2 linked regions of the Diceros bicornis minor genome follow. The protein of the gene in region 1 purifies or fractionates together with the protein of each later gene. This does not show direct contact. Links are inferred from orthologs where the notes say so. Each region holds a gene or a part of one and is shown in the gene's direction. Other genes may lie near its edges. The genes, in order: MCMBP and MCM3.

Evidence for each region.
Region 2: the proteins of MCMBP (region 1) and MCM3 purify together in Homo sapiens (affinity purification with mass spectrometry; 10 studies listed by BioGRID and IntAct, counting the BioPlex papers as one, with this or other methods). This does not show direct contact. The link is inferred for Diceros bicornis minor from reciprocal best matches to the Homo sapiens genes MCMBP and MCM3.

What each region holds. Positions count from the first base shown.
Region 1 is NC_080745.1:82,615,180-82,630,595, reverse strand, and holds the start of MCMBP (mini-chromosome maintenance complex-binding protein), read left to right. Parts: upstream 1-8,488; 5' UTR 8,489-8,715; coding exon 8,716-8,773; intron 8,774-15,416. UniProt on the Homo sapiens protein: Associated component of the MCM complex that acts as a regulator of DNA replication.
Region 2 is NC_080753.1:14,594,802-14,610,957, forward strand, and holds the start of MCM3 (DNA replication licensing factor MCM3), read left to right. Parts: upstream 1-8,595; 5' UTR 8,596-8,654; coding exon 8,655-8,732; intron 8,733-9,760; coding exon 9,761-9,873; intron 9,874-10,308; coding exon 10,309-10,517; intron 10,518-11,012; coding exon 11,013-11,143; intron 11,144-13,171; coding exon 13,172-13,410; intron 13,411-13,876; coding exon 13,877-13,985; intron 13,986-15,044; coding exon 15,045-15,198; intron 15,199-15,550; coding exon 15,551-15,682; intron 15,683-16,156. UniProt on the Homo sapiens protein: Acts as a component of the MCM2-7 complex (MCM complex) which is the replicative helicase essential for 'once per cell cycle' DNA replication initiation and elongation in eukaryotic cells.

The sequences.
Region 1 (15,416 bases):
CCCAAAATGGAGTCACTTGTGCTAAGCCCCACATCAGCAAACCAAGACTTAATACCTAACCTCATTGCAAGTTCAGCCTTTCCCAGGAATGTAACCTTTAACCAGTCAGCCTGGAATTACCCAGTCAGTACTTTGAGGAAATCCACCCAATAGGCCACTTCCATGCCCCTTAGGAGGGCCAGCTTACATTGCATTCTTTGCTAATAATTTCATTTTCTACCCACTTTTGGTCTTTAAAAACCTTTTCTTTCTTTCTTTCTTTCTCTCTCTTTTTTTTTTTTTGGTGAGGAAGATTAGCCCTGAGCTAACATCTGTTGCCAATCCTCCTCTTTTTGCTGAGGAAGATGGGCCCTGGGCTAACATCTGTGCCCATCTTCCTCTACTTTATATGTGGGACGCCTGCCACAGCATGGCTTGATAAGCAGTGCATAGGTCTGCGCCCGGGATGTGGACCTGCGAACCCTGGGCCGCCAAAGCGGAGCATGCACACTTAACCACTATGCCAGCAGGCCAGCCCCAAACCTTTCATTTTCTACAGCTCAGTGGAGCTCCTTTCTATTTGCTAGATGGGTTTCTGCCTGATTCATGAGTTGTTGCATAAAGCCAATTTGATCTTTAAATTTATTCAGTTGAATTTTGTTTTTTAACAGATTTGGTGGAAGCAACGAGATCCAAAGCAAACTTTTGCTGGCATTCAGGGACAACAAGAAACAAGTGTGGTACCTGAGGAACCCTTTGAGCATTGTCTTTCTTGCCATTTCCAAGGGCCATGGGTAAATTCCTCTCAGTTCTCAGCTCCATTTTCTTTGCACTGAGCTCCTGATCTACTTGGCTTTCCATTCCAGGGCTTTCTGGGTCAGCTTGAGCTGGCAGACTGTTCCATCCAGAAGCTGAATCCCCAGCCCTTGGTTCAGTCTGCAATTCCCCATTTGATTGGAAACCCCAGCCCTTGATTCTGTCCTAAGATCCACATGGGAACTCTTAGTGGCAGTTCACAGTTCCCCTTTGTGTGGAGGCCCCAGTCCACAGTCCCCATTTGTTGAGGTCTGCTGGTTCAATCCTTTCGCCAGTCCAAGGTTCCGTAGTAGGAATTGGTGGTGGTACACACAGGGCCTTCTTTTGGACAGCAACATAGTAATTGGTATGATGTTATCAGTCATAATTCCAGTTACTATCTTAAAATGTTGTGTGTCACAGCAATAACCAAACTCTCTTGTCAATTCTATTATAATGAACTCTCATTAGATCTTTAATAATAGGCACTTCTAAGTCTTTTGTCATTTACAGAGAGTTATTGTTTTATTCTGATGCTTTGCAAAAGTGTTCCTGCAAAAGTGCTTCATCTTCAAGGAGCTTTATGGAAAGAATTTTGACAAGTACAGGTTTCTGATAACTTTAAGATTATAAGACTGAACTGGGTAAGAATTTCCAGAAGTAATGAAAAAAAACTGGATTCAAAAAGAACAAGAATTAATAACATGAACTGAAGAGGATGATTATAATTTTTATGACTTGTTTAAAACATTGCTGGTTCTTTCTTTTTTTTTTATTGCAGTAACATTGGTTTATAACATTGTATAAATTTCAGGTGTACATCATTATACTTCTATTTCTGCATGGATTACATCATGTTCTCATAAACATTGCTGGTTCTTTAATGTTTTGTTTTTCCAGATTTAAGGAAACCTTTTCTCTGAAACTGTCTATGACTTGCCACAATTTGGAAAATATACCACTGTAAGCAAAAATGAAACATTTACTTTTTTTCCCTACCTGATCCCTCCAAAATTCAGAAACTCTTAAGTGTTCTTTTCTTTTGTGTGTGTGTGTATGTGTGTGTGTGTGAGGAAGATTAGCCCTGAGCTAACATCTGTTGCCAATCCTCCTCTTTTTGCTGAGTAAGATTGGCCCTGGGCTAACATCCATGCCCATCTTCCTCTACTTTAAATGGGATGCCACCACAGCATGGCTTGATAAGCGGTGCATAGGTCCATGCCCGGGATCCGAACCTGCAAACCCCGGGCCACCAAAGTGGAGCACACAAACTTAACCACTACTCCACTGGGCTGGCCCCTTCAGTATTCTTTTCATGACAATACAGTTAGTTATTGGCATAAGTTCTGCTTGTAACAGGACACTGTTGGAAACACTGGCTATATTACCAAGACTTTGACTGGATTGTCATATTTGAGGGAGATATGCATAGACTCAGATATGACCAGACAGTTTTAAGGAACTAAGGTTGACTTTACAGAGTGAATAAAGCCCCATGAAAAAATCAACCTAGTACCTTGCTTACAAAGTTCCAGCAAAGCAGTCTTAAAAGAGCTTCTATGGTCAATCACTATTTTTGCTGCTCTTATGTAAATGTAAATAATCAGGCCAAGTCTGATGCAAACAATTTAGTTTTACTGTGATTATCCTTGGAAAAAAAGAAATGGGGATAATTATAGAGAGAAAAACTATGTTTGCACCTTTGTCTATATTAGATTCTGATCTTGTTAACTGTATTCAAGGTTCTGTTAACTACCTGTAAACTGGGCTGGATCCTGAATTCTTCTAGTTTCCTCAAATATCTGACTACAACTCTCCAAACTAACCTTTCCAATTCCTCCTACACTTTTGATTTGGAATCACTAAGAACAAAGACTGCCCTTGAATCTCCTTGGAAGGGACTATACCAGGTCCTCCTCACTACCCAGATGGCAGCCAAGCTTCAGGGACTTGAACCTTAAAAGAAGGCTCCTCCTGACATGTGGTTCTATGCAAATGCTGGAGACCTCCAGATCAAATGGACGAGGAAGAGGACTAGCTGACGTGGAGGTAGACTGCTTCCCCCCCAAGACTCTGGATCAAGACTTCATTCTTTAAACATGAAACCCTCTCTTCTCTTTCTTTCCTTTACTCTGGCATCAGCCTGGAAATATAACACCATCACCCATATCTCCTAGGCCATTGCTAAGGGGGGTAACCTTTCAGATTACTGGATTTGTCATCAGAAACTGACCTGTCCATGATGCTGGAGACCCCCTGGTCCATTTCCCTGTCTCTGATTAATAACTCCAAACCTGAAGAACTTTGTGTCCAGGCTCTATGCAAAGAAAGGGACACAAGGCAAGGGTAACCAGAATAAAACTACCTGTGTTGTCTACAGACTCTTAAAATTTTACTGGCCTCGATGGCTGTCGCCTTTCCAGTCCTGAGCCACAGATTCAGACAGGAATTACCAGGAGGCATTCATGACTCAGGATTCATTTCCTTTGGCAGGGCCATATTTACCTGGTTAGGTGTAAATGTAAATGAGGCTATGATCAGGAACCTCTCCTTAACTCTTTAAAGTCCTGTGGAATCATCTGCTAAAACGATAGCTGCCCAACAGAAATCCTTAGACTCTCTGGCCATAGCCCTTGATTCTCTTTTAGCTGAGCAAGGAGGTGTCTGTGTTGTGGCCAATACCACCTGCTGCACCTGGATTAACACTTCTGGAGAAGTTGAAACTCAGTTACATAATATCACTGAGCAAGCCACTTGACTCAAAAAGGTGACTCTTTCAACAAGGTCTTTCTTTGACTTATTTGATTTTGATGATTTGGGTCTTGGGGACAACGGCTCCAAAGTGCACTCCATACATTGGGAATTATCCTGCTTGTAATAATCATAGTAATCTCCCTTGTGTGTTGTATTCTCTCAAAAGCTCTAAATGCATGTTCACAGTCACTAACCACCAAGCAAATGATCTCCCTAATATTGGAACGTCAGAAAAGGAACACTGACTTGAAGATTGTGAACCTGAAGTTGTTGCTGTTGTTTTTTTTTGTGAGGAAGATCAGCCCTGAGCTAACATCCATACCAATCCTCCTCTTTTTGCTGAGGAAGACCTGCCCTGAGCTAACATCTATTGCCTAAATCCTCCTCCTTTTTTTCCCCAAAGCCCCAGTAGATAGTTGTATGTCATAGTTGCACATCCTTCTAGTTGCTATATGTGGGATGCCGCCTCAGCATGGCCGGACAAGCAGTGCGTTGGTGTGTGCCCGAGATCCGAACCCGGGCCGCCAGTAGCAGAGCACATGCACTTGACCGCTATGCCAGGAGGCCGGCCCCATGAACCTGAAGTTCTGACCTGTGAATATCACAGAGATTAACCAAAAAACATCATGACTTGTAAATACCACACAAAGGATGAACAAACGCTGCAAGCACTACAGAGCAGAAGCTAAAATGTCTCCTTACATTTCGATCACATCTCTCAGTTAAGCTGAGAGTCTGATCAAAACAGAAAATTGTTAAAAAGGAGACAATAGGCCCAAAATGGAGTCACTTGTGCTAAGCCCCACATTGGCAAACCAAGACTTAATACCTAACCTAATTGCAGGTTCAGCCTCTCCCAGGAACGTAACCTTTAACCAGTCAACCTGGAGTTACCTGGTCAGCACTAGTGAGGAAATCCACCCAATAGGCCACTTCTGTTCTTCTTAGGAGGGTGAGCTTGCCTGAAACAATGAATTCTTTGCTAATAATTTCATTTTTCCACCCCTTTTCCACCTTTAACAACTTTTCCTTTTCTACAGCTCAGCAGAGCTCCTTTCTATTTGCCAGAAGGGATGCTGCCTGATTCATGAATCACCAAATAAAGCCAATTTGATCTTTAAATTTACCCTGTTGGATTTTTTGTTTAACAAATGTGACTACTAGGGCCGGCCCCGTGGCTTAGCAGTTAAGTGTGCGCGCTCCGCTGCTGGCGGCCTGGGTTCGGATCCCGGGCGCGCACCGACGCACCGCTTCTCCAGCCATGCTGAGGCCGCGTCCCACATACAGCAACTAGAAGGACATACAGCTATGACATACAACTATCTACTGGGGCTTTGGGGGAAAAAATAAATACAATTATTTTTTAAAAATGTGACTACTAAAAACTTTTAAATTACATATGTGGCTTGCACAATTTTTCTGAGATATCGAATATACAAACAATGGCCAGACCATCTTTGACAAGAGAACTCTGACCCACAACCTTTGCAGAACTGGCCCAGAAAGGTCAGGACTCGGTCAACAAGTCCAACTTCCCTGCTTGTTGGCCCCACTCACTCCTCAGAAAACAAGAATAGTTGAGAAATCCCTTCTCCCTTTTGTGTTCTAAGAAAGGGCTAACTATAAAGGACCACCTTGCTGTTGCATATTCCAACATAAGACCCACCTCTACCCTTCCTCAAGGACTCCCTTGTTTTATAAAACCTCAAATTTTAACCCTCTTCTTGGAGATGTTCGTGAATGAATAGTCTCCCTACTGCAACAACCTAAATAAAAGCCTCTCCTTCGTTGTCTGGGGCATTTTGCCTTTCACCTGTCACAACCCATTATCCAACCACTAAACTAGAGCCACATTACTTTTTGTTTGTTATGGTAACACTCCACTTCTGATACCAATTTCTGAATTATTTACAGTAAGGCTAGCAGGTGTAACAAAGAGACTTCAGAATGCAATGTTCATATGAAAATCCACACTGTCTTTAACACAAGGTCATTCTAGTCATCACCATCTCACCATCAGGAAGGAGGAAAGAGCATATCCAGGGCCAAATCTTTTCTCCTAAGAAATTGAAGGAAGTTCCAGACATCTCATTCATTCACAGTTCACTGATAAGAATCTAATCACAGAGCCCTACCTAGCTGCAAAGAAGGCTGAAAGATGTAGTGCCTAGCTAGGCAACCAGCTTCCGCTACACCTTTGTAGCTAGGAAATGCAGTTCTTCCCCGGGCAACTTATCTGTAGCTATGGAAGAAGGAGGGAACAGATTTTTTTGGTCTCAGTTAAAAGATGAAAGAGGAAAAGAGAATATTTAGGATAATGGTGGTAGGAGATGCTAGGAAGACAGTTTTACACAAGAAGTAGAGGGCAGCAAGTTCAGTTTGGAACAGGTCGAAAGGCTCTGGGAAAGATGTCCCAGAAAAATAAAGTATATAGAAGATTTGATGTGTCTAATTATCTAGAGAAGAGATCTAGGCAATTGATGGAAGTGTGCATTATCCATTCAACAACTGTTTATTGAGCACCTATGATATGCCAGACACTGTTCTAGGTGCCAGGGAACAAAACAGCATACAAATACCAAAATCACTGCTTCAAAGATCTTACAATCTAGTGGAAATTCTAGTGCAGTCAGGGTTGAATTAGTAATAAGTACATAGAAAACTAGCAAATGTTTAAAAGAAACATTTACCCCACCCTGGAGGCAACTACATTCAATCCTTTCAGCTGATTCTTTCAGTATTTCTATATTTTTAAATTAAAATTACATTGTCACTTCCAGTTTTTCCTTTTTGTCTCCTTTGCATTACATCCCACACAAAATATGAGGATTTTACTCTATTTTGATCTTCTTTGTCCTTATCACATATATGAAATCTTCTCATCCCCCAGCCTCCTAAGTTAAATTATAATGGTGGCTAGATCAACATTAAAATTTTAACATTATTATGACTTTGTGAACACTATTAATAGCTAAGTCATATAATAAATTGTGATTATTTTAATTTTTCTATACAAGTTTTGTTTTCCTAGGCTTGGAACACTTTTTCCTCACACTTTTCAGCTAGCTAACTCTTATTTATCTTTCAAGTCCTAGTGTAAATGTCACATCTTCAGGAAAGCTCAAAGCATCCTTCCCCCTTACCCACAACCCTCCCTCAGTAAAATAGATGGTGCTGTTCATTCCTCTCACAGAGCTTCACTTTTTCTTGCCTGGCACCTACCATGGTTGTAAATGAATAATTATTTAGTAATAAGTCTCCTACAGGACTGTACGTTCTATGAGGGCAGAGATGGTCTCTCCTTTTTTCATCCCAGTATCTCCAATGCCCTCAATAATTACTTGCAGACAGCGTTACTTAATGCCTTCCTGGGTGGGGGTGCAAGTGCAGTTACTGACAGTGGGAAAAAAAATCTTGCCATGGAGATGTACCCTCATGGACCCTCCCCTGGCCTCTTACATTTTCACAACTACTTAGTAGTAGTATCAACACATCTTGCCATAGGAAAATTAGAGGGTGAAATTATTCACATTATAATTACATTTCAGAATGATTACAGTGTCTCTTCAAGTAAAATCTGAGCAATTATTTGTTCAATAAATCACTAAATACTCTTCAGAGGGAGAGACCAAAAGCTGAAGTGTTCCTAGCCATTGCTAAATTGGTGTCCAGCTGCAATTGCATATAAAGCAAATCTGAAAGTATTATGATTTAAAAGCAGATATTTTCATGTCATAAATTTAATTTGCAAATTACTGGCCATGAAGCTAAAATATGGGATTTCTCCATTCAATACCAGGGAGTTGGCAACCCTCTCTGCTAAAGGAATGAATGAATGAGCAAAGTGGTGGTAATGCCCCGGATTTGCAACCCAGTTTTCTCAGCTCACCCAAACTCACAAAAGCCAGATGTATAATCCAGTATGCCAATTAATTAGTTCACAATGAGAAATATAAATTAAACCTTTTTGCCCTAAAGAGGGCTTGAGATCTGAGTTCCGTTCTTCTTGTTCTGGCTCCCCACTTTCTAGACTCCATTCAGATCATCCTCCTGTTAACAGGCCCTATTTTCAGCTGATGAGACTGGGGTTTTCCCTAGGCCTAGGGGAAACACGCAGTTTCATTACTGTACTTGCACATTTTCCAAATTTCCTCATTAAAAGGTCACCGCAGATTTGATCTTTTGTGTGTGCTGATGGCACCGTCTTCATTCTGAAGGTATCCTGATACACACGTTCTGCAGGAGCCTCGCCAAAGCTCCCTGGCTGGTTCAGGCTTCCAGGCAGACGCTGCTCTCGGTCTGTTTTCGCAGTTTTGAGCTGACCCCTCAATTAGGAACTAGTCCCTCTACCACAGTGCCTGAGATGACAGCAAAGGGAGCTCGGGGTCTTTCAAAGCCCCCTTATCTAAATGGGTAAGACTTTATCCAGCTGAGGGAAAGTCGCTAGATAGGGTTTCGGGCAGGGCGCCAGAGAAAAGAGTTGCCACCAGCCAAAATAAAAAGCACCAAGAGGTGGTGGGCGGTGACCAAACGCTGCTTCACCCACTAATTTTGCCCAGAGATGACTCGGAGTTCTCTTTGGCCTTGTGCCTTGGAGCTGCTGCGGCCTCCGACCTGTACAAGACCTCGCTACGAATTAATAAACCAGATTTTGGGAATTTCCCCCATCACGCTTGCACAGGGTGACAAACAGTAACACGCCGCCTTCGGCCCGCGACGCCCCGTTCCGCGCGCGACACCCTCTCCGAGGCCGCGCATGCCCTTCCTTTGCCCGACTCCAAGATGGCGGCCGGCCCGCCGCCGCGCCTCGGCCCCGCCCCGGCCTGGCCCGCCCCCGGCCGACGGCCCACCCTGCCTCCTCGCCCGCCCGCGGGGCCGCGCAGCGCGCTCCCGCCGCCCCTCCCCGCGCGAGCTCCACCCAGGTCGCAGGCAACGCGGTCGGCGGCGCCTATTTCCCGCCATTGTGCGAAGTGGAGGCTGGGGGCCCGCACGCGCCGCCTGCCCGGCGCCAGCAGCTCCTGGGCTGCAGCCGCCACAGCCGCCGTTCCCTGAGGCGCGGGGAGGCCGGGCGGCCGGCGCCCCGAGGCTCGCCCTGCGTGGGAGGGCGCGGGCGAAGAGCGGCCGAGCCCCCGAGGAGGCGCCGCGGCGCGGGACGCCGGGCCGCACCGGCCCCGGGCCGTCGGCGAGATGCCGTGTGGGGAGGATTGGCTCAGCCACCCGCTCGGGATCGTGCAGGGCTTCTTCGGTGAGTGGCGGCGCCGGGGGCGGGCCGGGCTGGCCGCCGAGTTTGCCGAGCCCGGGCCCGGCCCCACGCGGGGCTGCCTCGAGGGCTCGCGCGGCCGAGACGGTCAGCGGGCCTGCGCCGGCCGGCGCCGAGACGCCGGGTCTCCGGGCCCCCGGGCCCCCGGGCCCGGCCGCAGGTGCCTTCCACCTGCCCGATTCGGGGTTCGCGAGCCGAGGTTATGCGGCGGGGAGCCGGCTGCCGGCCGTGATTGACGGCCTCGCTCCCCTTGGCGTCCCCTCCCGGGGCCGAGCCCGCGGGCGGCAGTACTCGGAGAGCTCCTTGCCCCCTCGGGGGGCCCGCAGAGATGGGGTGAGGGAAAAGCACTTTGCCTGTGGGGAAGCCTGCAGGGTATTTCAAAACTTCCGGTGTGCCGGGGGAGTGCTCGCTCGCCGCAGAAGTTGCTTCTAACTACTGTATTACACACATCCTCCCTTTTCGAGATAAGATTTAGTGTAATCGCTTAGTTTTTCTGTTAGGATGACTTGAAAACCTGCCTAGTATACATCTCTTGGGCCAGAGCTAGCAAGAAATGTTGACCTGCTCAGATGAGTTTCTACCTACAAAGAGCTTAGAATGCTGCAGACGAGCTTAGTAAATTATAGTTGCAATTGTTATTAATGCTACTTTTCTGCTGAGAGTACACGGAGGAAAATTTAGGTTTGTTTGTGCTTAACTGGGCATTTTGACACCCCCTCCCCCAGGTCTTTTTGCACTTAGGTGTGGTGGAGGCAAACCCAGCCAGAAATCACTGTATTAGATCGTAGCACCTGACTTGTCTGGAGGTAACTTAGAGTTGTAGAGTGGCTTTAGCTCGTTTATAACGTCGTGGGATGTTAGAACGCCTAAGAAGAAGCTAGATAGTCCCCAGCAGCCAAAACTGATGGCGTAAAATGTATTTCTTGTAGGAGGGACTCACTCAGCAACTCTTTATTCGTTTTCCCTATAATTTGAACTAGTTTAGTTATCTGGTTTCCCAGGCTGAAACTAGAGGCAGCAAATTAGAAGAAGGCCTGAGTAGGCGTCCGGATTGTAGCCAGTGAACACTGACAACTTGATAAAGAAGAAGTGAAAACCTATGTACATATTTTTTTTTTTTAAAGGCAAAAAAAAATCATTATATATCCATTAAGGGTGCTTTGAGGAAGGGGCAGATATCCCTCCACTAAATCCTAGTAATTAATTTTTATAATGAATACTGAAACCCATAATTGAGGTCCAAAATTATGGCCCCAAAATGTGGAGTGAAGGTGAAATTGCACAGTTGGTTTACAAGGGTGCAGCTGCATAGATACTTTTTAGGAAAAATCCTTCAAAAGTAAAAAGTTTTTGGGCTTAAAAGGTGAAGTTTCAGTTACGATATTTAGAAAATTTATTTACGAGAACTACCCCATACCCTAGTCTTGCTGGACAAATGAGATGATTTTATATTTGATATGGATTTGAGTGTATTTGGGTCAGATTTTGTCTCCTGTGTGTGTGATCCTAAGGGCCACATCTCCTTATAGTACTGAAAGGGTATAATTTGGATATAAAATATTGGCTTTACACTATTTTGTAAATTTTGTGAATTGTTGAGGGGACCTGGCCCTTATTGATGTGTTTCCTCCTGGATTGTCTTAATCTCATATAGGTTGTGTTTTATAGAGGAGAAACTAATACTGTTTTACAGTCATGAATTTTTTGTAGAAGCTGTTCTGAAGCATAGTATATATTTTTACTATATTTTCTATCACTGTGAATATATTGAATATCTTTATAATAACAGCATTACAGGTATGTTCATGTGATAAGTCAGTCAGGTGTTAAACTTGTAGACTCTTTGGTTTAGTAGGAAATTCTTTTGAATCGATTTTTTTCTCCAGGTAGAAAAGTACTGCAAGTCTTTTGTGGTTTCTGAGGCCTTTCTGGGTTCTACCCCTGCCTTGCCCTCAGACCTCATCACTACGTTCTCCCTCTTATTGAACCCTCTTTCAGTTCTTTGATTTTGAACCTGGCTTCTAGGCCTTCTGCATAGGCTGTTAACTTTCCCAGGTCCCCCCCCCTTCTCCTCCAACTTCCACTTTCCTGGCTAAATCTGACTCTTCTTTGAGCACCTAAGTTATGTACCCCCTGCTCCACGTTACTACAGGATCCTGTATGTCCTGGAAATTGGATGTGTAAAGCATATTGTTGAAATCGCTTGGTGCTTGGGTTCCTTTGCTATATTTGACTCTGGGAATTCAGGGCCTGTATCTGCCTTATTCACTAGTACATCGTCATTGCTTAGAGTACGCCTCGTACATTGAAAATGCTCACTGAACGTTTGTTGAACAGAGGCAGTGGAAAGACGGATTATCGATCAGAAGTGGTGTAAATTGGGATGGTTACTGTGACCACAAATCTCAAACTTAAGACAGTCCTGGTGGACCTTATGTTGGTTCAGAGCATATGATCATACCAGGAATGAGTTAGCTTTCACATGCAAATCCTAATTCTTTCTTCTTGGTTTAAATAAGAAACTTTAAAGTTCTCATAGTGGCCAGTCATAACCATATGAATCATAATTCGTCTTTGTGAACAAAGCTGTATTTTAAATTTATATCTGCCATATTACAGTTGTTAATATGTAAATTTTTCCTGTAAGCCTTCATAAAATGCCTTTAATGTTTAGTTCCAGTTTCTGAAAGATTTTATATACAGGACATTGTCCAAAGGCTTGAAATATAGGAATACTTTATTGGGCTCTATTATGTTCATAGTGCTAATGGCCTAGGCCCCACAGTGATTGTTCATTTAGTGACCCATATCAAATTGCTTTTCTTAAACAAAAGCAGGAATCTTTAAAAGAAAAAAGTTTTGTATGCTTCTTTTTCTTTTAATCATTTTTTATTTAAAAAAAGGAAATTTTCTTTACTTGAATTAATAACTACTGTTAATTTCAGAGGAAGTAGGAATGCTTATCAACTCTGATTTCTTTCACTATTTTCTCTATAGGTTGTTGGTTGGGTCAAGATCATTATTTTTGGTTATATTCAGGGTCCTTTGGTTGTGTCTAACAGAACTAGAACTACACTAGCTCGTGAAAAAAAGCAGTGGTGTGTGGAGGAGGGCGGGGTGGGAGTATGTGATCACTAGCTTTTTAGAGTTTAAAGCAATAATAAAATTGACTAAAAGTCCATCTGCCTTTTTATTGTCTCCATGATTCTAAACAGACAATTCACTCCCTTTTGTCTGTACCCACCTTGGATCTCTCATACCACCCCACCACCCTTGGTAGGCCACTGGAAAAAAGAAATTGTTATAAGCCTATAGATCCCAAAGACGGGGAGGTTGCTTGGTATCCCAAGAGACTACTGAGTAGAATCAGGAACTGGAAAGCCAGCAGGAGTCCAAGCAACTCTTATCAGTTTTTCTTCCTTAGGCTATATTCATCTCTGCACACAAACTTATCTTTCTCTGCTCCACAGCTCCTGATTTCCCTTGTCAGGTCCATCCCACAGGAGCTAGCATCTTTATTTTAATACCAAATTCCGGGGTTACAGAATCTAATTGGCCCAGCATGGAGTCAGGGTTCCACTCATGGACCAGTCAGCTATGGCCAGGGCACAGAGTTATGTAGGACAGTCATAACTGTTGAGGCCCACTCGTCAATAGTGGGCGAACTTCTCAAGAGAAGAAGAATGGATTGGATGGCCATGGCAAAAGGCATAAATATGTATATATGAATTTCTAAATTATTAAATAATAACTTGCACATGGTTAAAAAATGATGCTATTAAATGAAGAGTAAAAGTATGCTCTTCTCCCACTGAGGTCACCATTTTTAACTGTTTCTGATTATCGGTTTTTTTATTGAGATATAACACATAACATAAAACTCACCATTTTAAAATGTGCAATTCGGTGGTTTTTATTATATTCACCACTGTCGTTTCCATCACCACAAAAAGAAACTCCATATCTGTTAGCAGTCGCTCCCAATTGCCCCCTCCCCCATCCTCTGACAATCACTAATTTACTTCTGTCTATGATTTCCCTATTCTGGACATTTCGTATAAATGGAATCATACAACATATGGCCTTTTGTATTTGGCTTCTTTAACTTAGCATAATATTTTCAAGGTTCATCCATATTGTAGCATGTGTCAATACTTGCATTCCTTTTTATGACCGAAAATAATATTCTCTTATATGGATATACCACATTTTGTTTATCCATTTATCCATTGGTGGACGCTTGGGTTGTTTCCACTTTTCGGCTATTGCGAATAGTGCCACAATAAACATTCATGTGCAAGTTTTTGTCTGAATATACGTTTTCAGTTCTCTTGGGAATATACCTAGGAGTGGGATTGCTAGGTCATATGCTAATTTTATGTTAGAACTATTTTCCAAAGTAGCTGCACCATTTTACATTTCTTAATTTTATTTATTTGTTTTTCCCCCAAAGCCCCAGCAGATAGTTGTATGTCATAGCTGCACATCCTTCTAGTTGCTGTATGTGGGACGCGGCCTCAGCATGGCTGGAGAAGCGATGCATCCGTGCGCACCCGGGATCGGAACCCGGGCCGCCAGCAGTTGAGCGCGCGCACTCAACCGCTAAGCCACGGGGCCGGCCCCATTTTACGTTTCTACTAGCAGTGTGTGAGGGTTCCAATTTCTCCACATCCTTTCCAACACTTGTTATGTTTCCTTGTTTTATTAGTTATATCCATCCTAGTGGTGGTAAAGTGGTATCTCATTGTGGTTTTGATTTGCATTTCCCTAACAACTGATGATAGCATCTTTTCATATACATTTTGGCCATTTGTATATCTTATTTGGAGAAATGTCTTTTCAAATCCTTTGCAAATTTTTGAATTGGGGTTTTGTCTTTCTATTGTTGAATTATAAGAACTTCTTTATGTATTCTGTATACTAGACCCTTATCAGATATATGATTTGAAAATATTTTCTCCCATTCTGTGGACTGTCTTTTCACTTTCTTGATAGTGTCTTTTGACACAAGTTTTTAATTTTGATGAGGTCCAGTTTATCTATTTTTCCTTTAGTTGCTTATGCTTTTGGTGCCATCTGTAAGAAACCGTTGTCTAAAGCAAGGTCACAAAGATTTACACCTATGATCTTTCTAAGAGTTTTATAGTTTTAGCTCTTTCATTTAGGTCTTTGATCCATTTTTAGTTAATTTTTGTGTATAGTATGAGGTAGGGTCCAAATTCATTCTTTTGCAATAGGATATCCAGTTGTCCCAGCACTATTTGGTTTTTGGGTTTTTTTACGTTTACCAGTTTATTTTAAAGGATATTATAAAGGAAACAGATGAACAGCCAGATGAAGAGGTACACAGGGCAAGGTCTGGAAGGGTCCCTCGTGGAGAAACTTCTGTCTCCATGGAACTTGAATGTGCTACATTCTCAGCATGTAGTTGGGTTCAGCAACCCAGAAGCTCCCCAGCACTATTTGTTGAAGAGATTGTTCTTTCCCCACTGAATGGTTTTGGCACCTTTGTCGAAAAAAAATCAATTGACCATAGACGTAGAGCTTTATTTCTGAACTCTCAATTCCATTCCGTTAATCTATATGTACATATAATCTATATGTACATGCCAGTACCATGTTGTCTTGATTACTGTAACTTTGTAGTAAGTTTTGGAATCGTGAAGTGTGAGTCCTCCAACTTCGTTTGTTCTTAAGATTGTTTTGGCTTTTCGGGGTCCCTTCTATTTCCGTATGAATTTAGGATCAGCCTTTCCATTTCTGCAAAAAAGGCAGTTGGCTTTTTGATAGGGATTGCATTGAATCTATAGTGCTTTTAGTTCTTTTGATAATAAAGAATGGTTAAGATTACAGACTTTAGAGCCAGACTGCTTCTTAACTCCAGGGCCATACCCAGGGTATTTGGCTCTCTAAGTGGATCATTTTTTAATACCTTCCTTCTTTATACTACAAAATTATTTTCAGTAATAATCATGAAATAAAGCTATATGTAATGCTGAAGGTATTACATATTTCAAAATAGATCTAAACATGGCTTCTATTACTTTCTTCCCTCCCCCCTTTTTAGAATTTTTTTTTGTTGTGTTCCACTGTGTTGATGTTTCATGTTAGTATGGGTACCACACTTCAGATTTGAATAATTTTGTATTAATTGTATAATTAATTAATTCTTTGTATTAAGAATAACTTCCCAAGTTCCTCCAGGACAAAAAAGCTCAACTATTACTCAGTAGTATTTATAGCTACCTAATAGTTTGAATTTTGGTCTTTAGGTTTTAGTTTAATAATTTTTTATATAAATAGTTGTCTGGTAGCTAATAAATGAGTTTTAATAAAACTCAAACATCTGCAAAAGAGACAAATTAGACAACTACCAGATTGTTCCACTGATATTACTAATGTATTTTATTGATTTATTCTTTAGTTTTAAAGCAAATAACATTTTAAGAAGAATACATTTGTGTTCAAGATATTATTCAAATTCAGTAAAATATTTCATGTATGAGCTAAACTTTGCATCTACTATATCACTAATTTCACTGTTTTAAATATTAAAGAGGGGCCGGCCCTGTGGCATAGTGGTTAAGTTCTTTGTGCTCCACTTCGGAGGCCTGGGTTCGTGGGTTTG
Region 2 (16,156 bases), on another chromosome or scaffold:
CAGATAGAGACCATTTCCATCATTGTCAAAAGTACTATTGAATAACGCTAGTTGTTTCCATCTAGTTTTTATCCTCCTCCAAATTCGTCATTATTGTTAGTATTGATATTTAGAGTCAACACTTCTCTAGATTTACCTTCGTGTTTACCAATTTCTTTGCTCACTGTTGTTTTTTCCTTACTTATGTATTCAATGTCCTTCTTCCTGAAATGTATCCTTTAGGAGTCTGCTATGGACTGAATTGTGTCCCCCCAAAATTCATGTTGAAGCCCTAACCCCCAAAAGTGATTGTATTTGGAGAAGGTGTCTGTAGGAGGTAATTAAGGTTAAATGAGACCCTAAAGTGAGGCCCTAATCCAATAGCACTGGTGGCCTCATTAGAAGAGGAAGAGAGATCGCTGTCTCTCTCTCTCTCTCTCTCTCTCTGTGCACGTGCTCAAAGGAAAGGCCATGTGAGGACTCAGCAAGAAGGTGGACATCTGCAAGCCAGGAAGAGAGCTCTCTCCAGAAACTGAACATTGCCAACACCTTGATCTGGGACTTCCAGGCTCCAGAACCAGGAGAAATAAATTTCTGTTGTTTAAGCCCCCCAGCCTGTGGTATTTTGTTATGGCAGCCCGAGCAGACAATTACAGAGCCCATTCAACAAAGGTCTGGAGTGTTATTCTGAAAATCTTTCTGTTGCCCTAACTCTTTAATAGTTTAGCAAGGTATAGAGTTCTAGCTTGTCAGTTATTTCCTTTGGGCCTTTGAAAATATTATTCATAGTTTTCTGGCCTTTGTTGTTGCAGTTGAGAAATGTGCTGTCAGTCTAAAATTTTGTTCCTCTTTTCTTTTGGATTGCTTTTAATATTTTTCCCATATTCCTGGTGCTTTGAGTTTCATTACTGTGTGTCTAAGTGAAGGTTTAATTTTATATTCCTTGCTTAGGATTCACTGTGATTCTTTAACCTGAGGATTCTTGTCTTTGATCAATTCTGGAAAATTCTCAGCTACTATGTCTTTTATGTCCTTTATTTTTCTCCATCTGGAATTCCCAGTAGATATATTTGAACCTTTTCATTCTACCATTCATTTCTCCTAACTTCTCTTTGTATTCTTCATTTTCTCCACTCTGCTGCATTATGGCAATCTCCTCAGCTCCATCTTCTAGTTTACTAGTTCTTTTTTCAGATGTGTCTGTTTTGCTTTTAACCTGTCCATTAATTTGCTTTTAACTCATCCATTAATTTATTCTTTCAATAACTGTACTTTTCAATTCTAAAAGTTTCATTTGCTCACATCCACCTTTCTTTCAGAGTCTAGTTGTGTCTTGAATATTTCTTTACCTTTTTTTTTTTAAAAACCCTTTAATTTATTTTAAATATATGGGTTTTAAGATCTAATTCAATTTCTCTGGTCTTCAGTTGTTTAGATTATGAAATGGGGCTTCAGACTAAATGGCCTCTAAGGTGACTTCCAGCTCTGAAATTCTAGTATGCACTCTGATATTCACTTATTTTTTTATAAACATTGTTGGCATACTTTGCATTTCCAATTAATGAAGGTGGCATTGGAGCATGGCAGTGAATAAAGAATGATTATTTTACAAGGCACCTTCCCCAGACCTCCAGAGCTCTGAGCCAACACCTTCCGTTTTCTCATATCCCCTTCCTGTATTAGCAGAGAGAAGCAGGTGGCTAACGATGAACACAGGCCAGGAAAAATATCCATCTGGCTTTGGTTTCAAATTAGAGATATTTTTTGGAGACGCATCAAAGAATCCAGTGAAAGGCTGGGGAGATGAGGTAAACACTAAACTGCTCAGCTTCTCAGAGATTTTTGTTCTGATCGTTGTAGCACTTAAAATTAGAGTGTTAACGGTTTTCTGTGCTCTCTAAAACCAACAGAATATTGGAGGGCTGGAAGAAGGATAATGAAAGCCTATATTTCTTTTTGTCTCAAGATTCCCACCACTGAGCTAGAAGAATGTAGGAAGGTGCTGGAAGTGAACTGCGGGTATGAGGTGGGGTGGGGAATAGAGGAGGTGATTTATGTATATTTCCGTAAAGGGCAAGGGAGTGGTCAATACGACCATTTCTGCAGCTTGTGTCCCAAGTGCCTCATAAACATCTTTCAAATTCTGCTCCTATGTTGTCAGATGTTCAGTGAGTACAGGATGCAATGAGATTCAGTCTTCCCAAACCCTGGCTTCTCGTCTATCCAACTGATTGTGAACACTGCGGACAGGAACTGTAGCTTCTTAGTCAAGTGGCATGGAGCCAATTAAAACTAATATTCAGTTTACTTCAAAGAACACTGGCTCTTCCCTCCTCCCCCCCTTGCCATGCCAGCTGACCAGATGCAGTCATGGTGCTTTTATGATTTATTTTCTTTGCTTAGATTCTTAGTATAGACTTGATTGAGGCAAAATTTATATACACTTTGCTTTATTGGGGTATAGTTTATATATACTTTGTTTTAAAATTCAACAACAAAAAAATTTCTTTCCTTTTTCATACTGTCCTAGACAAAGTTTTGGAACTAAATGTCAAAGTTGTATTCCTCTCCTGACTACAGTGTTTTGAGAGACTTGGTTATCTCTTAAATTTTTTCCTCTGTATCTTAACTGCAAAACAATTGTTCATTCTAAATTTAGATCCAAATCCAAATAGAGATCATTAACATCTACATGCATTTTGTAAGCCCTTGGGGCACTCACATGTGCGTGAGGCACATGTATTTATTCTACATATATGCAATTTTTATCCTGCTCTTTCCCTCATTCCTACTTCCATCCAAATAGCTTTTAGGTCTGTCTGTTTTCCCTAAAATGTCTCACTGCCATCCTTTTCTTTCTGTCCCTTCTTTGAATCCCCTTTCCAGGCCTCATTTCTTTTTATCTGATTTAAAGAATCCATTCCACACAGCCTCTGGCCAGATTAATCTTCCTAAAGCACAACTTTGATACTGTCTCTCCTTTGCTCAAAAGCCATCAATGGCTCCCTTTTGCCTACGAAATCCAGCACGGTCTTCTTACTTCCTGGTCAGCGTCCTCTACAGTCAGGCCCGATGCACCGGTCGCTTCCGGTTCCACCCTGCACCCCCTCTCCCGCTGACCCTTCATTCCAGCCACCTTAGTTTCTCCCAAGGCTTGGTCATCGCTGCCTTTACGTTTGGCTTAGAATGTCACTGCTGCCACATCTCCCCTAGAGGAAATATGGCCCACCTTTTGATCCTTAAATCGAATACTACTTCCTTTCTTTAGCTTTCCCTCATCACTCCTGTACAAATTTATATCTGCTGTTTTTAATGCACATGGCACTTTGTACCATGCCTAGAACACGCTGCATTTTCTCATGGTTATTCGTGTTTGTACCTTATTTTCTGTACTAGATTGTAAACTTTTGATCTTTGTATCCCCCTAAATACCTTGCATATAATATAAGAAAACACAAGCAGTATTATTTGTAGTGTGAGTAAATATCAGCATCTCAAAGCCCTCCTGGCTGAATAAATACAGGCATTTTAAATATTTTGAAACTTCAAAATGATGATGTACACTTTACTTGAAGGATCAAATAAAAACTGATTATAAATATCTAATTTACTGTCTCATACACAGCTCATGCATAATTGATTAAATGAATGAATAAACAAATGTTACCAGGCACATACAGATGCTAGCCCATCTGTAAACTAGCAGAAGGCATTCATGATGCCCAGAGAAAGGTCTCCATACTTTAAACAGTAAAATGACTAAGAAAAACTACAATGCACTAAGGTAAAAATACAATACACTGTCTTTTTAAGTCAATTATTCTAAAATATAAAATATCTGTTCACTTAATATTTAAGTAACTTCCACTGAGTCTTATGGGTCAGATTCTGCATTTGGATATTAACATACTCATTTGTTCTTAAATGCTATTCAATATAGCCATATAGGCCTGGGTTCAGATGCTGCCTCTGTCCCTTACTGGTATGGGATTCTGGGATCTTTTAAGATTTAGACTCCTTACCTGCAAAATGAGGATTAAAAATAACCACATCACAAGGTATTATAAAGATTAAATGAGATTATATGGTAAAGTGCTCAGCATCATGTTTGGCATATAGTACGTGTTCAATAAATGGTTGCTATTATTTCAAGTTAAATCAAAGCTATTTCAAGAGAGAGATTTTTTTTTTGGTGGGGAAGATTGGCCTTGAGCTAACATCTGTTGCCAATCTTCCTCTTTTTGCTGAGGAATATTGGCTCTGAGCTAACATCTGTGTCCCTCTTCCTCTATTTTGTATATGGGATGCCACCACAGCATGGCTTGATGAGCAGTGCGTCTGTTTGCACCCAGGATTCGAACCTGTGAACCCCGGGCTGCTGAAGTGGAGCACACTAACTTAACCACTACGCCACCAGGCTGGCCCCAAGAGACAGATTTTTATACTTTAAAGCTGTACTGTCTAATATGGTGGCCACTAGCCACATGGTGATTGAGCACTTGAAATGTGGCTAGTCTGAATCAAGATGTGGCTTAGTATAAAAAACATTCTAGATTTTTAAGACTTACTACAAAGGAAGGTAAAATATCTCAATACTTTTTAAAATATTGATTACATGTTGAAATATTTTCGATAAATCGGGTTAAATAAAATATTAAATTAATTTCACGTTTTTCTTTTTAAAATGTAGGTACTAGAAAATTTAAAATTATATATGTGTCTTGCATTATAATTCTATTGGGCAGCACTGATCTAGAGTCTCTCGCCAGGGACAGACTTAGGTATACAGATGCTCAACTCATATTTGATTGGAATGGCTAAATGTCTTCATCATTTCATTACATTGGCACAATTTAAAGCATTGAGGGACTATATTTTTTAAAATGCACACTTAAATCTAGACATATTTACAGAGTGGAGTTATTATTAGAGAATTTCATATGCCATATTCATATTTACTCAGTAAGTTTTTGTAATTTCCTCCTGCAAATCTGTGGTTCTAAGTATGGAAGCAAAGCTCTTCAAACAGCTGCGTGAAATTTGTGCAACTAAGAATGGGGATGACTTTTCAAAGATGAAGAAACCCAATTGCTCAAATTAACCTTGGCAAATGACAATGAATCACAAATTGTTGGCAGGCCCAACTGTGATGTCAAATTTAATGGGCAAATCAGGATCATGCATGCTCCCTGGCTTCTGGATTTTCCTCCTCTTTGTAGCATATCTAACCCAAAGAATTCCAGGAAGCAAAAGTTGGAGGGGCAGAGGCTATGGGACTCTCCTGTCTTTACAAGGCACACCGGCTAACTCCAGGGACCATTTGGTCTTCCATAATGGTCCTTAAGCATGGAGCAAATGCCTCTGATGGCTTTCAACACTGGCCGAATCGAAGGCAACCAATATCCTGTCTGTGAATGTGATACTCCTTTAGCCAATTGGATTTGCAGCAAACAAGGTCTCACTCAAAGAAGTATCTGGATTGGTTCTATTGTAAGCTTTTGGTGGGAGTGGAAAGGGGGCTTGAATTTGCTTGTCTAATTGTTCCAGAATACACCAGGGTGCTTCCTCCCCATTCTCCCCAGCATCTCTTGACCCCTCACCAACCACTAATACCACCACCACTGGAACATTCACTTACTGTGAATGTTCTTACTACATGCCAGGCACTTTTCTCAATATCTTACATCTGTTATTACCTCACTGAATACTCAAACCATTCTTTGAACTAGATACTAGTTCTGTCCTAATTTTAAAGGAGAGAAAACTGAGGTATAGGGTGGTTAAGTAAGTCGCTCAGTCACACAACTAGTAAATAGAGCAGCCAGAAAGAGAAAGGAAGTCTGCTTGTCGTGGTGCTCATGACCCTGGACTGCAGCATCAGGAGAAGATTCTGACTTGTCCATATCACAGAAGAGAACAGATCTGCTTGGCCAGGGCAAGCCTGGGCCTGCAGGTTATTCCTTAAGCTGTGCTGGCACCTAGAGGTGTAGAGTTTTTTACATTGAAGCTTTTGCGGCCTTTGAGGGAGTGTCAAAGGACTATAAGGGATTATGGCACCTTCCTGAGTGCCTAAAGCTAGTGATTAATCACAGGGTATTGTTTGAAAAGTTTTGCAACATATAATATTGTTCATCGGTTTGAACAAGGATATATATATCATTTAGTAAGCATAAATAGTATTTACTAAATATTTTTTAGTTGAACTGAGCCTTTGGGTACTGTTTGGTCCCTGAGGACACGGAAAAGTGGAAGCATTATGTACACTTTTGCAGTCTTTGTTTTCCACTGTCTTCCTGCATATTTCTGCTCTCCAGGGAGCCCCCTAGTGTTTATTTAGCCTTGGAGATTGGCTTAGGTCCATGGAGGCCTAGGGTGGAGAGAAAATGGATACAGAGGGAAAGCAAGAATGTGAGCAAAAATGGAACTTCACCAGGTTACCTGTGCTTCTTCATTTTGAGTAAGAATCAGAGGAGAGCCATTGGCTAAGCTTGGCTGGACTCTGTAGGAGATATGTACAAATGCCCTTAACTTGATTATAGCAGCATCTGATTGATGATTCTCTCTGCAGTTGGAGGAGCAGGAGATAACAAAGGAAACATCCTTCCTCTGCTCAAAGATCTCATGCCCTAATGAAAGAAGGGGAAACACTAATTAAATATCCGCATGATCTTCATGGCCGAAGACAATGACATTAAAGCAAATCAAGTCCTTATTGAGGAACATGGCATAATTAATTCTAAATGGAATTGTCTTTACATAGTTTACAAATTCGCGATAGGCTCACGAATGTTACAGTGGGATAGCTATTAGAGGTTTTCTAATTTCCTTATCTTTTATATGAGGAAACTGAAGCCCAGAGAAAAGTGTGTTAGCGTCACAGATTGGGTTTTCATACTCCCACTCCTTTGGACTTTTCACTGCAAATGACTTGATTTTTTTTTGCTTATTTGAACTAAGCTTCCTGGTTATTTTAGTGTTAATTTCAAGTTGTTTCCAGAGCAGAGAATATTGTCAATGTTGCTTTCAATACATTCATAAAATGATAGTTACCATCAAGTGATAAAGGTACACTAGAGTTAAAAGTAATTTTCTCTTACTGTATAATTGCAAACAGGATCCTCATCCTAGAATCTCTTTTTCTTTTTCTTTTTGCCTGTTAATATAAACAAAAACAAGATGACTGGCCTTTTTTCTTGGACTAAGGATTGATTTATCTGCCCACTAGGATGACACCAAACATATAGCAACTATAAACTGTATAATAACTAAAAATATATATACACGTACAAATAGATGGCATATATGTTTTGTTTAGGTAGATTATACTGAGAATATTTATCAGGGCACAGTGAGTCCTAGAGACCTTTGAACATAAACTAATAATTAGTTGGCCGCAATTTCTGCTGTAGAATTACCAGGTGTCTAGTATTAGGCAATCTGGTATTTTAGCTTCCCATTCAGTAAAATCAAAAACACACGCTGGGGCAGTGAGACTGTTCTTTATTGTGCACCGGGTGGTTACATGGATGTATACATAATAAAAATTCATTGAGCTGCACCCTTAAGATTTGTGCATTTTACTGTATATAAATTATACCTCAAAAATGAAACTAAAAAATCTAAACAAACCACAAAAGACTAAAAGCAAGCAAAAAAACACTTGGACATGCAATTTATCTCTTAATTATTTATAATTTCAGATTTGCTATATCTTAATTACTGATTGATACTGGAGTGGCTTGAAACACTTTTTTTGTTTCTCCTTGTGTTTGTCTTTCAATAAACTAAGTTTTTAAAAAAGGTCCTGTGATCTTCCTACAAGGCGAGAAAGCCTTTAACTTACCCATCTGCAAGTAAGATGGTGCAGTAATTTTGTGCAAAGTTTGTTCAACACATGAGGCCATCTCTAGGGGGCGGGGTACATGCCGAAAATTTTTTTCACTTCACCCTCCTCCGCGGTCTGATATTTTTATGGGGTACTTCAGGCAACAGTATTCAGAGAGCAAATGGGTCGCTGAACTAAACAACCCTTCCCAAAGAAGCTAGGATTCTATTTTCCATTCCACGGATTGTCAAAATTCACTTTTTTTCCCCTGGAGGCCAGTTGAGGATAGTTGCTTGAGAAACATATCTAGCACGCCAGATCTGAATATATTTTAAAATAAAATTGCTTTTATGTTTTCATCTCCCTGCATTATGAACCCCCATTCTCTGACTTTCAGCCTGTTCTCAGTACAACCGCCGCGCTGAGTTCATTCACTCTGCGGCAGGTCAGGGGACAGAATATCAAGACTACGACTCCCAGAATGCATCCGGCGCCTTGGGCCGCCCAATGATCAGGCTCCGCGAGCCTCCCTTCGGCCCCATTGGTCAGCTCTCCCGTCAGTGAGGGCGGAGCGGGGAGGGGAGAAACAGAAGGCCCCGGATGGCACATTTCCCGCCACAGCGGGGCGCAGATCGGAAAACGCGAAGCAGCAGCAGCTCTCGATTGGATACTCACTATTCTGGCGTCAGAGGAGTCAGCCAATCAGAATGTTTATACGCTTCCAGAGCCCCCGCCCCTTCCTCGAGGTAACCCCTGGTGGCGGGAAAAGCTCGGAAGTTTTCGCGCCGGGGCGGGGTCATCCAGGGACCCTCCGCGCGGCTCTGGAGGAGGCAGTTCCGAGGCGGCAAGCATGGCGGGGACCGTGGTGCTGGACGATGTGGAGCTGCGGGAGGCGCAGCGAGATTACTTGGACTTCTTGGATGACGAGGTGAGCGAGGCGCCGGGTCGCGAGACTCTGGCGCTTGGGGCCCTTGGGGACGCGGACGGGCCGAGGGAGGCCACGCAGGACGCCGCTCCACGCCAGAGCCGCAGGGCCGGGAGCGGGAGGACCGCCGGGACTCGGCTCAGGAGCCCTCCACCCCGAGCTGGTCACTGTTCCAGCGGAGGAGTCAGTCGTTAGCGGTTTTCCGTAGGGGAACTCTTAGAGAGCGGTCCTGTGACTTTCTCCCAAGTACAGATGATGGCCGGGGCTCGCAAAAATAAAATGGCAAAGCTCCCTTTGACCTTTTAGAAGTCGCTCCCTGCTCTCATAATTTGGAGGGAGGGAGGGGGAGGTAGGGCTGTAGAGCGGTGGTGACCCGCCGCGTTTCAGGGTCCCCAGGTTTTAGTGACTGACTTCCTAATTTGGCCGCGTTCTTTTTCAGTACCAGGTGAGATGCAGAAAGTGTCTGGTATGCAGGTAAAGGGGGTTTTGTGCACAACCCAGTTTGAAAGCCATAGAATGTTGGTAAAGCATCTTGAAGAGTTGATAATGCTGTGTCTGTAAACAAATAGCTGAGGCTCCCAACTCCTTTAGGTCTGGATATGAGAACTCTTTCTGTATTATATACATGATTGGAAAATAAAATATTTTAATTCTGTACATGTCTTAAAAGTCATTTTAATGTGAATATTAAAAGCCCGTTTATTAACATTTTAACAAGCTTCTTACTTACTGTCCTTCTTATTAGTTCGTTTTAATTGCCCATTAAAGGTTGAGAAATGACTACATACAGAAAAGCCGATAATGATAAAAGGAATAATAGCATGGACTTTAAGGAAGTCATTATAATTCCTACGCTGTCCTCTTAGGGTGTGTTTGGAATCTGAAGCTAGTGAGTGAAAATATGGGAGAAATTGGGGTTCTGCTCTGCCGCGGAGATTGACTTATTTATCTTGCTGCGAGAGTTGCCTCTGTTTAAAAACATCTTATTTTTGAATGTGTGGCTGCTGTTATATGTGGTGGCTATTTTGCAGGAAGACCAGGGAATTTATCAGAGCAAAGTTCGGGAGCTGATTAGTGACAACCAAGCCCGGTTGATTGTCAACGTGAATGACCTGCGCAGGAAAAATGAGAAGAGGGCTAACCGGTGAGTGGCAAAGGTTTCCAAGGGGATGTCCTGGCTCTGGGTGAGAATGGCTCCCTTCTCTCTCCCCCCAGAGTGGAACAGGCTTCCCAGGAAAGGACCTGGATGAAATGTTTTTGGCTTAGGAGCCCTCTTTTCCTCACCTGTTCCTATGTTTTTATCTTCTTCCAAAAGTAGGTGGTGGGCATTTTCCTCTCAAGAGCTCCTTCTTCCGTGTTTAGCTGAGTATCATTTCTAAATCTTTGATGAGTTGAATTCAAGTTGGCCCTTGGTTCTGGTCTGTTTTACTGAGTCTTGTAGGATGGCAGGAGAAAGTAGGAGCTACATTTTTCACTCCTTGGCCTTGATCACCTAAGAATGTTCACTTCTGTTTTGAGGGTCAGTTTTTTTGAGCTCTGCCATCTCCGCCTAATTATTCTTTCTCTTGCTCATGTTTAGCCTCCTGAGCAATGCCTTTGAGGAGCTGGTTGCTTTCCAGCGGGCCTTAAAGGATTTTGTGGCCTCCATTGATGCTACCTATGCCAAGCAGTATGAGGAGTTCTACATTGGATTGGAGGGCAGCTTTGGCTCCAAGCACGTATCTCCCCGGACTCTTACCTCCTGCTTCCTGAGCTGTGTAGTCTGTGTGGAGGGCATTGTCACTAAGTGTGAGTGGGTTAAAGTGGGGTCTAAGGGAATGGAGGTGGGATAGAGTTGGGGGTGTGGGAAAGCAGGAGAGGTGGAGTAGAGCTGTGTAGCTTATGCTACACAGCTTCAGAAAGGAGGAGCGTTGAAATTACAGAGTGAAACTCGGAGGAGCTCTGAGTGGCCACAATGATTAGGGGGACTTGAGTGACTGCCTGTGCTAACAGAATGATGAGTTCTACTGAGAGTGGAGGAGTCTTGGCTTTTGGCAGTCTTCTCATTCTAACCCTGAACTCCTGCTGTTTCTCAGTTGGGATCGGTTGTACTTAAAGTTTTACATGGACCTGGTAATGTTCTATATGTAAATATAAAAATGAATAAATGACAAGTATTATTGAAATAGCTTAAACTAGACGGAAGAATACAGTATTTGGAGTCATTGTAGGCTTGCCTGGGCCAGATCCCACCTCTGTAACCGTCTAGTTGGATGACTTCATATGCACATTTTCCATCCCTAGGCTCTCTAGTTCGTCCCAAAGTTGTCCGCAGTGTCCACTACTGTCCTGCCACCAAGAAGACCATAGAGCGACGTTATTCTGATCTCACCACCCTGGTGGCTTTTCCCTCCAGCTCTGTCTATCCTACTAAGGTGAGGGGGTTGGATTGATTGGGCCTTTTTGGAGGTTGGAGTCAAAGAAGAATGTTTATTGCAAGTAATTGGGTAATATCTGAAGTCTTTATTCTGAAAGTAGATAGGGTGAAAAGTAAGGATAAATCTAAAGGAAAGATTGCTAGTCAGAGTTTAGTATGGAAAGTCCACAATTCTTAATTTTTTAGACAAGAATAAATATTAATGTTAGAAAATTTGGAAAATTATGGAAGAGTCGAAAGAAGGAAAAAAGTCATCTAATGTACATCAATATTTTAACAAAGTTATATGTATAATTTTATAATTTACTTAAAGTAATATGAAAAAAGAATTATCCTATAATGTTACTATGTAATCTTTGCAAATATTTTACTGTGGGTTTGAGAAAAGTTTGGTATATAGGAAATGGCTTTATTCTCAGTGTTCAGATTGATCCGAATTGAGGACAATGTGAGGCTTTACTTAATGAGACGAAAGAAGATGATTAATATTGATTACTTGATGTCTGAACTCATTCTGTCAAAGAATATCTGTCCCCACCATCAAATTTTAATTGAGAGCTCCTGTAGCCAGAGAATTGTTAGGTACTGTGGAGGACACAGATATAAAGAAGATCCAGTCTTTGTCTTACGTTTTATCAACTGGTGGAGGAATCTTAACATAAACAGCTAAAACAAGAGTGAGTATCTTAGAACTGTAACTGAAACTTACTTTAGAATCATTTAGTCTGCCTCTGCACGGAATGCTGAGGTCCGGAGAGGTTAAATGACTTGCTTGTGGTCCCAGTTAGTGATGGCCCTAAGGACTAGGACCCGTGTATTTCTACTTCAGGCCAGTTGCGTTTTCTAAGTCACCCTGCTCTCTTCATTAAGAATCCTACTTTCTAGCATTTCTTCTCCAGGAAGTACTCAGGGAGTACTCGTCTGCTGATTACTGTGGCCAAGTGTCCTTGTCTGAGCCCTGAGATACATGGGGCCAGGTCTCCTGGAGGTTGCCCATGTGGTGCTTAAGAGCAGGGGCTGTGGAGTTCCACTGGCCTCAAGTCCTGGCTCTGCCACTTACTGTGTGGCCTGGGGGAATTTATTTAACCTCTCCCAGCCTCAGTTTCTTTATCTATAAAATGTGAAAAATACCTGCTTTACTGAGTTGTTATGATGATTACATGAGACAATTTCATGAAATAACAGCATAGTACCTTGCACATGATAAGCACTTAATAAGTGATAGCTATTGTGTTTTTAGAAAATTCAAATGGCAAGGAAGTAAAAGTTTAAAAATGTCTCTACTGAAGTTTGATATACGTACAGGAAAGCTCGTCTAAGTGTACAGCTCGATGAAATTTCATGAGCTGAATATACTTGTAAAGTCAGCATCCAAACCAGGGAACAGAGTCCCATCCATACTCAGAAGTCTCTCTTGAGGGCCCACACTGCCCAAGGATAACCCTTTCCTGATATCTAACAGTGTAGATTACTTTTGCCTATTTTTAGTATTTTATCTAAATACTCTTGTGTTGGCTTCTGTTTGTGAGATTCATCCATGTTGTGTGTAGGTGTATTTCATACATTTTCATTGCTGTATAGGATTCATTGGTGTGAACATACCACATTCCTTGACCATTCTGTTGATGGCATTTGGATATTTTCTAATTTTTGGCTGTTAGGAGTAGTGCTGCTGTGAACATTGTAGTACGTGGCTTTGGGTGAACGTTTCTGTTGGGTATTACCTAGGAGTGGAAATACTGCATCATAGTGTAAGCATATAATCAGCTTTAGTAGGGGAGGTGAGAATCTTAATTTAGATGTTAATACAGCCATGGACCCTTCAGACTGTAGATTGACCCTTCCATTAGATGGTTTGTTTCTAGAACAGATAGGGATGGGAAAAGCTGAGAAGATATTGGTCTTATTTTTGTTCCTGGATACTAAAATCTCATGAGGTCGTCTGCAAGTGATATTTGTTTCCTACAAGTGAATGTGACATTTCTAAGACAGAGCTGAGATAACTGCTTCCATGTGCCTTTTCCAGGATGAGGAAAACAATCCCCTTGAGACAGAATATGGCCTTTCTGTCTACAAGGACCACCAGACCATCACCATCCAGGAGATGCCAGAGAAGGCCCCAGCCGGCCAGCTTCCCCGCTCTGTGGACGTCATTCTGGATGATGACTTGGTGGACAAAGTGAAGCCTGGTGACCGAGTCCAGGTGGTGGGGACCTACCGTTGCCTTCCTGGAAAGAAGGGAGGCTACACCTCAGGGACCTTCAGGTAAAGGGTCAGTCGTGAGGCATTTGGAATGCTGACAGCTTGCATTTCTGGTAGTATTCCTTCTCCAGTTTGCCGTATTCTGGAGAGTTCTGTTAGACAAGTGGAACACTCTACCTGGGAGATGGGATACTTCTTTTCTGTCAGATAAAACTGGCAATACTATCTTATGCTAAAAGTGGGAGTTACTGTGACGTGGTTATAGCCTCATGGCTCACCCGAGAGTTTCTCACAGATTACTGCCTCCTTCCCACACACACGTCTGTCTGAAGCTCTGGGGCTCAGTGGAGATAATTTCCTCAGATGAGGCGTCATCAGCGTATTTGTGTCCTAGCCTAAGGGAGAGTCAGTTGTTGAATTCAGAAGTGCCTTTCTTTTTTCCCAATTTGCTGTTTGGATTAACAGCCTAAAAAGGCTCTGGTGTTAGGAGTTGAAAATAGTCAGCTTCCTCTTCTCCTCTTTGTCCCAGGACGGTCCTGATTGCCTGTAATGTGAAGCAGATGAGCAAGGACATGCAGCCTTCGTTCTCTGCGGAGGATATAGCCAAGATCAAGAAGTTCAGTAAAACCCGTTCCAAGGTCTGGCCTCCTTTAGGGACTTGCCGGTGGGGATGGATTCGTATGGGTTGTGTTTGGGCCTGGCCGTCTTTGTACTGGATCAGGAGGAAGGTCAAGGTTTTTCCTCTGAAATATTTGGTGCTAGCTTCTAGTTTGGACCCAGTCAGCAAGTAAAAGGGTGTCTTTGCTGTTTGTTCTTTAGTATTTCTGTTGTGCTACCTGCTGGGCTGCTAAGTGAACCTGATACAAACATTAGACTAGGAGTTAGAATATCATTGTAGCAGTGAGTCTGTACTGAGCACATCAGTGATGCATTGCTGCTTCAAATAGTATGCTAGTTTTGTTTTAGTTCTCTAGTTTTTCTTTTTTTCTCTTTAAAGACAGAATGTCCACATTTAGAGCTTAACAAAATATATGTATGTTTGATAAAAGTTACTGCTAAAGTAGATTCACATTCTTTTTTTTTTTTTGTGAGGAGGACTAGCCCTGAGCTAGCATCCGATGCCAATCCTCCTCTTGTTGCTGAGGAAGATTGGCCCTGGGCTAACATCCGTGCCCATTTTCGTCTACTTTATATGGGACGCCGCCACAGCATGGCTTAACAAGTGGTGCATCGGTGCACGCCTGGGATCTGAACCTGCAAACCCCTGGCCACCAAAGCAGAGCACGTGCACTTAACTGCTGCGCCACTGGGCCGGCCCCTACACATTCTTGTTAAACCTGAAACCTTATTGAACCTGGAAACACTTTTTTTTTTGGCTTAAAAATTTAGATAATTTATTGATTGATGTCTATGTAAAGTATAAGGATAAACAGATTTCAGTTTTGATCAGGGGTCACTTTTTTTCTTAAAGATTAAACCGCTAAGCAGTTTTGGAACCTAGGCTTCCTCTGTGTCTGTTCTGATCATGGTTTGATCAATGTGCTTTGTCCTAGAGAGAAGCTTTTACAATTAGAAACAGGGTCTATATTTGTGTGTTTCTTCAAGCATTTTCTGTAGGCTAAAGTGTCAAGTGGAGTTCAGCGAAGCCCCGTTAAATCTCATTAGGCTTTTCACTCTGTTGGTTATTCCTCCTGTAGGATATCTTTGACCAGCTGGCCAGGTCGTTGGCCCCTAGTATCCATGGGCATGACTATGTCAAGAAGGCAATCCTCTGCCTGCTCCTGGGAGGGGTGGAACGAGACTTAGAAAATGGCAGCCACATCCGTGGGGACATCAACATTCTTCTAATAGGTATGGTGTTGGGGGTTTGCTTTGGACTCTTGGTCTTCCCTCGTGGAGTGTGGTTGTGGGCATCTATAGCCTTTGAGATGGTGTATTCTGTACCTCTCTGTATTTCAGTCCCATGAAAGGGCAAAAGGCTAAAATGAATGTTTTTTTTCATTTTTATCATTTCTGGGTTTCCTGATTTATAATATCTAAAATATATTCTTCCGTGAATGGTAACAGGAAAGTGGAGGAAATAATATTAACAGCCAATTACCGTATATTTCTGTTATGCCAAGAGCTGAGCTAGAAAAGCAGAACTTGTAGGAGGGCAGGGGGAGTTTCCTAGTGAGTCACCACTGCCCCTGTCCAATTACAGGAGACCCATCAGTTGCCAAGTCGCAGCTTCTGCGATATGTGCTTTGCACTGCACCCCGGGCCATCCCCACCACTGGCCGGGGCTCCTCTGGAGTGGGTCTGACGGCTGCTGTCACCACAGACCAGGAAACAGGTAAAGATGGATGGGTCATTGGCAGAGGTCCAGCAGTGAGACGGAGTGTAGTTCTCTGAGCTTGCTCTAGGCACTGGCTTGTGTTGGGAAGATATACTCGAGAGGTTAGACTGGGCCTGAGTTTAGAAGATTGAGTATCTGGCATTAGTAGGTGAATTATTAAGTCTTTTGGTGGGGCTCTGTTGACAAGAATGTCTCTTAGAAGGCTTTTTGAAAGAGTTTCAAAGGAGAAAGCTTAGCAAATTGGAAGGGAAATAAAAATGAAGATTGTACTATTTTATGAATTTGAGGAAGGGATTTGAAGACTAGCAAAAAGAGAATGGAGATCTAGTTGGGAAATCATTTAAGGATGAGGATGAAGAGAGAAAAATACATGAAGGAAGTTTGTTGGAGGCTCGCTGCTTAGGGGTCAAAGTGGGACAAGGAGGCACTGCTCAGGTTGGAGCTTGAAACGGTGACCCACCAGATTTCCTC